Drosophila melanogaster: one gene and its partner. The protein of the gene in region 2 interacts with the protein of the main gene of each other region in a pairwise test. Each region holds a gene or a part of one and is shown on either strand. Other genes may lie near its edges.

The links.
Region 1: the proteins of CG31300 (region 2) and Men-b interact in a two-hybrid assay, tested with the Drosophila melanogaster proteins (one large-scale study listed by BioGRID).

What each region holds. Positions count from the first base shown.
Region 1 is NT_033777.3:27,149,660-27,157,753, reverse strand, and holds Men-b (malic enzyme b), read right to left. Parts: upstream 6,093-8,094; 5' UTR 5,865-6,092; coding exon 5,848-5,864; intron 3,539-5,847; coding exon 3,364-3,538; intron 3,299-3,363; coding exon 2,249-3,298; intron 2,189-2,248; coding exon 2,036-2,188; intron 1,977-2,035; coding exon 1,682-1,976; intron 1,614-1,681; coding exon 1,449-1,613; coding exon of another isoform or gene 1,438-1,448; exon of another isoform or gene 1,415-1,437; coding exon of another isoform or gene 1,380-1,414; exon of another isoform or gene 611-1,379; coding exon 591-610; 3' UTR 151-590; downstream 1-150. Other genes in the region: CG6051 (uncharacterized protein), read left to right, coding at 7,325-7,360.
Region 2 is NT_033777.3:25,281,651-25,285,726, reverse strand, and holds CG31300 (uncharacterized protein), read right to left. Parts: upstream 2,108-4,076; 5' UTR 2,037-2,107; coding exon 1,482-2,036; intron 1,421-1,481; coding exon 892-1,420; intron 822-891; coding exon 637-821; 3' UTR 503-636; downstream 1-502. Other genes in the region: CG31104 (uncharacterized protein), read right to left, coding at 1-194; CG11892 (uncharacterized protein), read right to left, coding at 2,635-2,834, 2,902-4,021.

The DNA of each region.
Region 1 (8,094 bases), 1.9 Mb from region 2:
TTAAAATCAAATGCGTTCCCAAGCCGCTCTCTCTCATTCTCTTGCCGACACACAATCTTGAAACTCTCTCGAAAGCTCTGAAAACAAAGGGGCAATCCAGATCTCAAGAGATCTCCAGCAAGCAATTGGCATAAAGGATCGAGAGTGTTTAACTTGTGTTTTCGTTTTATTGTTTATCGCACATCATCATCATCTAGTCAGTGGTACAATGGCTGAATCGGTCCGATCGATCATAAGGGGTTAGGTTTTCTAGTTACTGATACATTAGGCTCGACCTTTTAACAATAAATTATAACAAAGCTGCTTAATTGCGTTAATAAATATCAGATATGGCTAAACAACAAACATAATCGTCGCTCGAATATATCTACAGATATAAGTGAACTAATCGATAGAAAGCATAATGTTCTAACTTAGATAGTTGGTGGTGGTTAACGGCAGCGAGTTAAGTTGTTTTACATGTGGAATCGGTTGGATGGTTGGCTGTTTAGTTGTTTGGTTGTTTGCTTGTTTGGGTTGTTCTCACCAGTTAGCTCTGCTGTCTAGCCAATTGTTCTAGGCGGTCGGTTTGTAGGGGGGTAATCGATAATTTACATTACTTCCTCGCTCTCTGTGTGTGAACGAAAGGAGCATATAGCAATAGATAAATCAATCAATTGTCGAATTTCGGGTGGATTGTGATTAAGCGTGAATTTGATAAATAAGTATAGCTTCAGAGCTCGCTTGATGCCGCCGTCAGAGTTAGTAGTAGTAGTAGACACAGCAGATCATATCGGAAGCTGGGGTACACTTATAATGCGGGATAGCTATGGCAAGCGGCGAGGAATGGAATTGCGAAGCCAATCGGGTGTTTAAGTTACAGCAAACCATAAACATAGCATAGATTAAATACAGATAGGATAGTGATAGGATAGAATAGAATACTGCGTAATTGCTTTTTCGAAGGCGTAGTCACCGTCACAGTCGTCATGTCAATGTCGTCATTTAGTATCGTACGTTTCGGTATCACAAAATTAATAACATGATAATTTTTACATATATAAAAACATGGCATACATACATAATACTATTAAACAATTTGAAAATACATTTAAGAACCGATCCCTTGACCTCGCAGCTTGTTAGGTGTTCTAATTATTTAATATCAAAAACATTTTAATCATTTTTTAGTTGCGACTGAGTTTGACTGTCGATGCCAACGGATCGATTAACAAACATTTAAAAAGAGTGAGCACTGGAAATTTATCTAGTCTAGGGTAGTTAGTAGTCGGTTGGTTGTTTTGTTGCTTGGTGCTGATGGTGTACGCTTGGAAGTAGTAGAGTGTGTTAGATGCAAAACAGAACGGTGCCATCAACCAGTTGAACGCATTAATGCTATTTTATTTGATGGCGGCAATGAGCGGGCTTTCTTCGCCTAGAATAAAATAAAGAAAGAAATTAATTTTCACTTTGTTTTCCATAGAGCTTTGTGGGGACTAAATCACGAGTCTTAATGTAGGGCATCCGCGGCCAAACCCAGGAAGCGGGCATCGAGCTCTCGTAGTTGAAGTTGTACAGCTGATTCTCCAGCCACTTGCGCTTGTCCTGTGGCTCAGGGTAGGTAGATGCCAAGCCTACAAAAATAATCCAAATTAGTTATATTTTCTGTTCCACCAAGATTGGTATGCTATTGGTATCTTACCTCTATCGTAGGCACATTTGGTCACGCCAACGGCAATGTTCATGGACACGTTGCGGATGCTCGACAGCGGAGGATACAGCGATCCGCGCTCAATATCGCTGGGCTCCACGAAGTTGGCCAACTCCTGGGCGGCGATGAGGAACATTTCGTCGGGTATGTGGTGAGTACCCGTGCAGATCACGCCCAAGCCAACGCCTGGGAAGATGTAGGCATTGTTGCCCTGGCCCGGGTAGAAGGTCTTGTCACCGATCTGGACCGGTGGGAAGGGAGAGCCCGACGAGAAGATCACGCGAGCCTGTGCATTTCAATCATCTCATTAGTTGGTCATTACAATATCCAATGAAAATAACTTACATCCGTGTGCTTGTAAGCATCTTCGGCAGTGCATTCTGCCTTGCTGGTGGGATTGGACAAGGCGAACACCACGGGCCTCTCATTGTTATCCGCCATGGTGCGCAGGATTTCCGGTGTGAAAATGCCGGCAGCAGCCGAGGCACCAATAAGCACCTGTTGATTAGTTTAGGATTACCAAAAGTTCCATCAGAAATAACAATTGTTATAACATACACTGGGTTTGATGGTGGAGACAATCTCGGCGAGATCTGACATCGGATTGATGTCCTTGGCGTAGTGGATTTTGTGGCCATCCAAGTTGCCCACCTTGCGGCTCTTGGTCAGCAGACCATCGATATCGACCATGTAAATTCTGTTGTAGGCCTCCTCGATGGGCACACCATCCTGCACCATGGCCTTGACCGTGAGATCGGCGATGCCGATGGCGGCCTCACCGGCTCCTGCAAACAGGAAGGTGTAGTCCTTGAAGGACTTACCCGTAATACGCTTGGAGGCATAGAGCCCAGCAACGGCCACGGAGGCGGTTCCCTGGATGTCGTCGTTGAAAGTGCAATAGGTGTTGCGGTATTTGTCCAGGAACCTAAATGCATTGTGGTTGCCAAAGTCCTCAAACTGGATCAGAGTGTTCTGGCCATAGCGCTGCACCACGGCCTCCATAAACTCGTCAATGAACTCGTCGTACTCCCGACCAACCACTCGCTTCTGACGCAGACCCACGTACAGGGGATCCTCCAGCAGATCGATGTTGTTGGTGCCCACATCCACCACAATGGGCAGGCACTGATGGGGCTTGATTCCGGCCAGAGCCGTGTACAAGGCCAGCTTGCCCACGGGAATGCCCATGCCGCAGGCGCCCAAATCTCCCAGTCCCAGGATGCGCTCACCATCCGTCACACAGATGGCACGCACATTCGGCTCCGGCCAGTTCTTCATCACATCAAAGATGTGTCCTCGATCGTTGTAGGTGATGAACAGACCATGAGGACGTCGGTAGATCAGGCCAAAGCGCTGGCAGGCCAAGCCCACCGTCGGCGTGTACACAATGGGCATCAGATCCTCGATGTTCTCCGATAGGAAGCGGAAGAACAGACGCTCATTGCGATCGTACAGATCGCTCAGATAGAGATACTTGTTCAGCGGCTCCGTGTAGCGGTTTACGGCGATCTTGCATAGCTGCAGCTGCTCCTCTTGCGTCTTGAAGCGCGCTGGCTGCAGCCCATGGATGCCCAGAGTCTGGCGCTCCTCCAGTGTAAAGGCAAGGCCCTAGAAACAAAAGCATTTGTTTATACAAAACAAAAGTGTCACACAATTAATTTAGTGCTCCTTACCTTGTTGAGTCGCGGATCACGGATGTGATCTATGCCGCGCACCTGAGACGGGCAGATGATATCGCCCACCACCTCATGATAGTGTCGAGCGGTGGGAACTGTTGCTGCTGCCACAGCAGTCTTTCCTGTTGCTGAAGTGCCGCATCGACACAATTTGCCCACAGTTCCACATAAGCTGCAAATTGCAAAAGTGCATTACGTGAATCACTTTATCAGCGCGGCAATTGGAGAACCCCCTGGGAACCCTTGACTTTGAGGTGGGCCCACTGTCATTCTTGACATTGCCACTGGCAATGGGGGGGCCCCCTCTGTCCACCCACAAACACACACATATGCATATATTTATGGAATAAAAACGCCATGCCCAAGGTCGACATCAGCTGCTTTTTGTTTATCACCGCGCTGGGCACGCCAAAATATAAAATGAAAAGCAGAAAAGAAGGAAACTAAGCCGCATTGTTTACAGCTGTCCCCCGGAATCCAAAGCGCCAGCGATAAGGGGGATGGATGGCCTGGCAACATCACGATAAAAATCTATGCACAGCCGCGGTCATAAATCTAGCATCTAATCCTCAGAATCTTAATAACTTGTAATAAATTCTTATAAATAACTTATCTAAATTCTTTAGAATAAAAAATATTTAAAAACTACAAGTTCAGTTCTACAGCTTGGATTGAAGTGCATTATTATTTATTCTCTAGGGACAACTAAAGTAGGTAATTTTCTGTGCACTTACTTGTGATCGTATCAATTTAATGAATTACAAAACCAATTGGATCATTGAACTTGAAAATGTTTTTCTGTTCTTGAAGCGTAAATACCCCCAGATAAGATTGCAAAACTAACAACTCGTAGTGAAGGGCTTACAAAAATATACAATATTATGGACCCCAACGGACTAGATCAGTTAATTAAAAACAGGTTCTGATTATGCAACACTCTTACTGTAATCGAAGTGCCAAGCGAAGATCATATATTATAAGATACCCTATAATTTTGACCCCTGCTGTTTGGTTTTTGCTAGCTGGCAGTTCGAATAGATGGTGCTAATTACGAGAGAGGCAAATATCGCGGGACAGAGGCGTGTGACTAATTTGTGTTTGCGGTTCATTGATGGAATCATGCTCGCGGGGAGTGGAATTGGGATTGGCAGAGGGTCGGTATCGGTGTCGTTGCTGGATTTTGGTCAAGTTGAAACCGGTTAGTGACGTGCGCCGGGCTGGAAACCCCGAGATCCCTTGCACCGACAAAAGGCGAGCACTTTGGGTTGATAATTATCGTTTAGGTAACGCTATCACTCGTCAATTTTTTCCATTTATTTGAATGGCACTCACATGAGCCCCCACCACGTCGAGTGCTAAACAATTTCGCATATCTGAGCCAAATACACGGAATAAGTGCGTGTCGTAAATGATACCCCCATACTCCGAGTGCTACCAATAATTATTTTTAGGGTCTTAAAAGCCCTAAGAACTGGAGTCTGAAGGAAAAAGCTGGGCAAGTTCATTAAACTCTTTACGTCTTTCCATTTTTTGTTAGCCAAATTTCTGGCTAACGGTTTGCGTGGGAACGAGAGGCAAGATAGCAGACCAGCTGAAAACATTCTTGATGAACTTGGCAACGAAAAACGCTGACAGCGGCGAAACAAAGCACACATTTTTTCGGTATATGCACTAAATTTAGAATTCCGCCAGACCATCTTTCGAATATATGTCCATGTCCATGGTATTGAAGGTGTTGTGTTTTCGCTACACAGGAAACAAAATGTTTTCGATTGTAAAAGTATGATGATAAACTTTCCATTCCTTTTTTTTTCTTAGAATACTACTAAACAATGGAATACATTCGTATTTGTACTTCCTATCCAACTGTGAATCATAGAAAATTCATACGAATTATGTGCGGCGATATTCCTCCACCGAAGAAAAGCAAAATTAAAGCACATATACTTATGATACGTAGCACCCCGTTTCTCTCTCTGCAGCCCATTGATTTTTTCAGCTGTTTCTTGTTTGGCAGCCAAAAAACGAAGACATGCATGTTCGAAAACGCTTATGCAATTGCAAGGGAAAAGTGAAAATTCTGAAAACAGCTGTTCACCGAACGGGACCAGCAAGTGCGAGAAAGGGAGGGAAGCCGAAGGGTCAATGCCAGGCCATGTGCGATTCCCAATCGGAATCCCTCTCGCTCGCACATAGCGCTTCCCAGTGAAAACGAAAGCTGCGCAGCAAAAGGAGGAGGAAAAGAGAAGGGGAAATGGGATGATATACTATGTGAATATATTGTATATATACACGGACGCCTTGGCGGCCGCTCGTCTGATCCGAGTGACTAGGTCACTGGGCTACCAGCTGGGGCAGTTGCTCCTCCCGCATCGTGAAATCTTACATAATTTGCGCCCGAGGCACACACACACCCACGCGCACACAAATCCTTCGAGGCGAGTCCTTGCATAAAAAACCAAACGAAAAAGAAAAGCTTACCTGGGTCGTGAGAACATTTTTATGTCGTATAATTGCTTTCCGTTGCGCTGCTAATATCACTGCTCTTGTGTCAGTCAAATCCGTTTGACAGTTGTCCGGCTACAAAGGGCTAATACTTTCGGTGGCGTACGGTAACTTTGCAATGCGACGCGGTCAGCGACAACGACGATTTTCCAGGAATAAAATTATAGCTCTGCGCGCGGATTTTAACCCACCCCAACAACTTACGAAAACGACACTAGTGACCAAGCGACGCGAAAGCGCCAGCGAAACTTGAATGGCACTAAAAAATGACAGATGTGCGAGGCGAATGCAGGGTGCGGTACTCCACTGGCGGACAGTGCGCACTCGAACCTTTTCGAACGGACAAGCAGTGGGGAAGCGAACCTGTTAGCCTAAAGTTTAGTTCACTTTCGAACTTTGAGTAAATTTAAAGCGTTTCAAGCCGTAAATGTTTGTACCCATTCTAATTTATTCATTAAGCTATGTGAAATACAACATTATATATTATGTAATAATTAATTATTATCATTGTTAATATTATTATTTTATTATTATTATTATTAATTTATTATTATTATTATTATCATTAATTAATTATTGATTAAAATTATTCAATGTGTTTATACTAAGCTGATTTTGGCAAATACGAATGTTAATAGTTCGAATTCGACAGTTTACCAACTTTAGTGATAAGATATACAATTAGCTATAAGCTTATGTCAAACATTGAAAATCCAACAGTACAACAATATCGCATTGCTAGTGTGAACGGTGTAGGATAGTTTTTACACGTCCTCAGCATTTTCCCCCGAACCGAAGAGCGCCATACTCTTGGCAGTACTAATCGCAGACCCCGCCGACTGGTCACATTAATCGAAAAAAAAACTTTGCTGCGAACGCACGGACGCTCCGCTGTCGACGGAAATCGCATCGCAACGCGAAGGGCGGATGAGTGCTGCGCGAGTTTAATGGAAAAGTTTGCAATCCGAGTCGCCCGACATTCGAGTGGTCAGCCTCCGCTTTGACGCACTGCCTCTGCAGGCCGCCACAGGACAACCGACGCAGTTTCCGCGAGGGAAATGCAGCTCCACCTAATGCGACCGCAGAGTCACGCGTGTGAGGAGCACGAAAAGTGAAAAAGCAAGAAGATAGAGCAGAACAACAAAAGGCAGGAAAGCAAAGTGCGAAGAGGCCAAGGCATTTAAACAAAATTCACAATAAGTGTTAAAATCAGTAATGTGCATTTAGCAGTTGCCAAACAAATAGCATTTTTCTTTGTTTTGTTTGGCTCGTACGCACTTGTGTTGGTGTACAGTGCTAGTGAGTGAGTGAGTGAGTGCGTGTGTTTGTGTGCGCGAGAGCAAGGACAACAAGAAAGAGCAGCGGAAGAGGAGAAGACGAGGAGCAGGAGCAGGAGGGGAGGAGGCAGAGCAACAACTGTGGAGCTGCAGCTGGAAAGAAACAACCTCCTGCGATGGACACGTTTAAACGCTGGCTAAACAAACCCAAGGTACAGTTTTTGTTTTCTGCTCCTATTTTCGCATAAATGATGAAAGATAGCCCGATTAGTAGTGCCCTCTTATCACTGACACAAAAAACAAACAACAAAAACAAGAGAGAGCGCAGCGCAATTAATTAAAATAGTGAGCAGAGCGCGATAGAGAGAGAGAGCAACAAATGGTGTCAAATGTGCCTGTGTGTGTTTTAACTGTGCCGTTGTGACGTCAGCCTTTGGCCCTGGCTCATTCTCATTATAGGCTAGCGCCCTCTCGCTCGCACCCTGTTAGCCAGCTGGGTTTTAACCGCATTTTCGTTTCCGATGATTAATTCGAATTCGCTGACGTTGCAGCAACTGCATCTCGGCGTGTTGTTTTTTCCTTTTTGTTTTTTTGCACAATACGTGTGTGCAAGCTGCACTCTCAATTCAAATTGGAAACACTCACCAACACATGCACGTCCGCATGCACATGTACATGCCCAAAGTAACAACAAAAACAAATATGGCGCCAGTCCGTTCGTGTTGCAAATTACAAGCAAAAGCAGCTAAAGCCAAAGCCAACTAATTTATGTATCTGCGCCTGGTAATTTGGGATCTATTCTGTTCCACTCGCAGCGGGGAAATCCCCCTCGCTATCTTGCTGTGGAAAATCACTCGAGAAAACAATGTCAAAGCTCCAGCGATTGGAGGAGCAGTCTATTCTTAGCCATCCAACATACAGTTGAAACTAGCTAAGGCGGATCTTT
Region 2 (4,076 bases):
TACTCCACTTTGGTGCGGAACATAACGCTGGCATAGTGATCTCCCTGGGCAGTGGCGGGTGATACCTGCAGATCGGTTACTTTAAGATCCGGGAGTTGCTCGTACTCTCTCAGAATATCACCGATAAACTGAGCATTTAGCCAAGCTGGCGCCTGAAGTTCGTCCGCATTATATTCAATATTTTTGCCTTCCATTTTCAAAATGTTCTATTGGGTTTTATTAGAATCAGTAGTATAACCGTTCCGAGAGCTCTGCGAACTACCAGTATAATAAGTCTGTCAAGTGACGATCATTTTAAAGAAAACCTGAGGAGCTTTTATTAAGCTTTTAATTTATTAAGGTATATTTAAAAATATTTCAATTGCTCGTCAAACTGCTTAATCTTATCATTCCTTCCAATAAACTTTGCAAAACATTGTTTAGGCCTTCAACTTAGGCCAAACAAAAGTGGAGGTGATAAGCAAAGTTGTTGTATCCTTGCTGAAAAAAGTCTTTCCGTTTCATGTTTCAGTAATAATCTTTTATTGGAAGAAATGTTCCTTTCGTAAGTACTTATGTACATATGTATTTCAACCGGAAAACAAAATAATGGAATAAACAAAATAAGGGCAACATATTTATGTAAATAAATGAGAGCTATAGACATTTAAAGTAGCCAAGTTGCTCGAATTTCGGCAATAGTTTGGAAACATCTTTAACATATGTATCCAAAAAGTAGGTTTTTTGGCGGGTTTCCGGATCCTGTATAAGGTCGTTCACTTTAAAACTCTTCGATTTGATGGCCAAAATCAAGGGCAGAAAAGTGCTCAACAAAAAGAAATCTAAAAGTTAATTAAAGAACGCATTATTATAATTTTTCACAATTCATTTTTTGATAAGTGGCTGACTCACCATAATACTTGTTCTTATGGATTTCATCCCAGAGTTTCGCTTGGGTTGGCAGTTCACCTGGGTATCCAATGCTCTTGAGGGTGGCAACCAAAACGGTTAAGTAGTGATTAATCAAGTCCTTTCCCATTTCTCTGCGTTGTTCCGGCTCCATCAGCATATAGATGGAATATGTGAGATCAATTGTGATGGGACAAAGGTTGCTAATCTGGAAATCCACCAGCATGGTATCCTCGTGGGCTCCCGTCCCCTTGTTGTTCTTGAACATCATATTGCGAAGATGGAAGTCACCATGACAGAGGACATAGAAGGCATCACTCTTTCGATTTTCATGGTATTCCTTCATCACAGCTTGTAGTCGTTGCATGTACTTATCTTTTATCTTTTCGAAATGAGGCTTATACTTTCTTAGCTCTGGTAATCTGTCCAGCATTTCAATGAAGCTCTGCATGCCAGTTGTAATAAAAGGGTCGGTCTTTACAGTGGGCATCTCGAAGAGGCCATACTTAAACTCCTTTAGGAAGTCAGGTTGCTGTTTGAGTCAAAAACATATTGGAATATAGAACTCCCATAATTACCTAAATTAAACCTACCTCCTTAATGTATTTCATGCTAATTGCATGCCATTTGGCCAGTTTAGCAAAGGCTGTTTTGAGTTCTTCCTGAGCAACCGGACGGTCTCGAATGACATAATATCCCTGGGGCACAAGGTCCTCAAATATCATCACCTTACGCGGCTCCAGGCTATGGTAAATGCAGGGAACAAATAGCTTTGTATCGTCTCCGGATTCCCGCAGAATTCTCTCGAATTCCGGAAGAACCTGGCAGTACATTCCGATCTCGGTTTCGAATAGATGCGATTCGCTGAGCATATCCTTCTTGTGTCCATCCTGCTCGGGCATCGCCTTGATGATTAGTGGCCTACTGAACTTTCCCTTCGCGGTGGTACACTCTGCAGTTGTTCGGAACATAACGCTGGCATAGTGATCTCCCTGGGCACTTGCGGGTGTGATTTTAAGATCGACAACTTTTAGTTCCGGGGAATCTTCGTACGCGCTCAGAATTTCCTCTATAAATTGACGATTCAGCCAAGCAGGTGCCTCTAGTTCGTCGTCGTTAAATTGTTCCGCATCTAACTTGTCAGTCATATTGCTCGCTGTTGCACAATCTAGTAGATAAGTGCCACGACTATTCTGAGTGGCGTTGTAGTTTATTATGGAAAACCCTATTACAGGCTTGTCCCATTTTAAGCAAAATGCTCGAGCTTTCAAAATGTTTTGCTCAAGCTTTGGGTATACACCACCACCCACTGTTCGATAATCAGTTGTAACCTCTAAGGTGGGGCTGATCCCATGTCAAGGTATAAATAGAAAAGCTATCAATTAGTATTCTTTTATAAGTCATTGCACCTAAACCGGTATCTTTCATTACAGATCTTTACATCGTATCTTCATTTCACTAAGCACTTAGTTAAAAAAAAAAAAAACAAACCACATCAAAGCAATATGTATACCTTTTCGATTACTATAGTTTCTACTGATTAGATCGGTGTCAGAATGACCCATCCAATGAAGTGACGAAAGGTAAACAAAACGCTTGATATGATTACGGTTAGTTTTATTACAAGTGGTATATAGAATGTGCTTTATATTACTTTACTAAAATATCTTAACTTAATATATAATTTTCTTTGGATACATTTTGGCTAGCTAATACTACATAACACAGTTATATTGTAAAGATTTCTCACTGGTCGGCATCAAGAAGACCCTCTGCCTCGAAATCAGGCAGAAGTTCCCGCAAGATCCTTTGAGCAATCGGATTCCTATAGCAGGCATCCTTGAAATTCATGGCCCGTTGGTTGTTCTCCATTAGGGCATTAAAATCGGCATCTGCTGTTTCCACATTTCGCTGAACTGGAAACACCGAAATGGATGTGTGGGCAGCTGAAAATCAAGAGATGAATTTGGTAATTAGCAACAGAAGGTCTAATCTGGTTACATTTTAACTCACCGTAGAATTTCTTCTGCTGCAATTGCTGGTGGAACTGATGCAAGCTTGGAATTGTGGATCGGTACTGCAGTTTTTTCAATGTATCTGCGAAATGCCTAAAGTAGTAGGCAATCAGCTGCTCCTGATGGTTCTGATGAAGATCGAACTCCAACGAGGAGTTCATGAAGTAAAACAGATCAAGTGCCGGCGATCCCCAGGCCGTGTATTGGAAATCAATAATAACCACGTCAATTGGCTCACCGGTCTGCTTGTCGTACTTAACCAGCACATTATTGGTCCAAAGATCTCCGTGAGCCAGGACATTAATGTGCCCAGGACTAATGTCGAAGATTCTTTTGCCCAGTTCCATGTAGATGGGCACCAGAGCCTTTAACTTCTCTGCGTACTTTTCGTATCCTGGCCACTGAGCCACACGCCTAGTGGCCGCCTGGAGCATGCCCACAAATGCTGGTTCATAGTTATCGGTATAGCGGTTGAAGAACCCTCGATCGTAGCTCTCGAGGATGTGGTTCTCGCGTTCGTTCAGGACCGCCGAAGTGGCATGCATTTTGGCCAGCTTACGGAGCACAATTCGAGCTAGCTTCTGGTCCAATCCGACCAAGCGATCCGGCATTACAAAGCCACGAGCATTCAGATCTTCGAAAATCAGCGCCGAGTTATCTATGTCCACCGCCATGGTTTCGGCAAAGATCTGCTCCGCATCACCGATTTCCCGGAGGAGGGCCTTCTGCTTGGGCAAGACCTGCTCGTAGATGATCATCTCACGATTGAAGATGTCGTACGGCTTCATGGCATTCTGGGCGAACTCATTCCCCTCAAATGTGGACTTTACAATGTAGTGACCCAGTTGGGAGCTACCATCGCTCCGAGTGAACTGTGCCTTCACACGGGTGAGGACTCCACCGTAGTTTTCACCCTTGCCCAAGGCAGGATTAACCTTGACCCAGTTGATCCTAATGAGTTGGTCCTTGTAGTATTTGCGCAAGGCATCCTGCAGATAGCTTTCGGTCAGCCATTCAGGAGCATCCAGGAAAACCGAAGTTTCTTCCGGCACAAGAGACTCGGGAACGGTGAGCTTGGGAATGGCATCAAGGGCACCAATCAGATCCGAAACCGACATATTGAAAATGATCTTTAACTGTAAGACTTGTGAATGAGATTGTGCCTAAAACTCA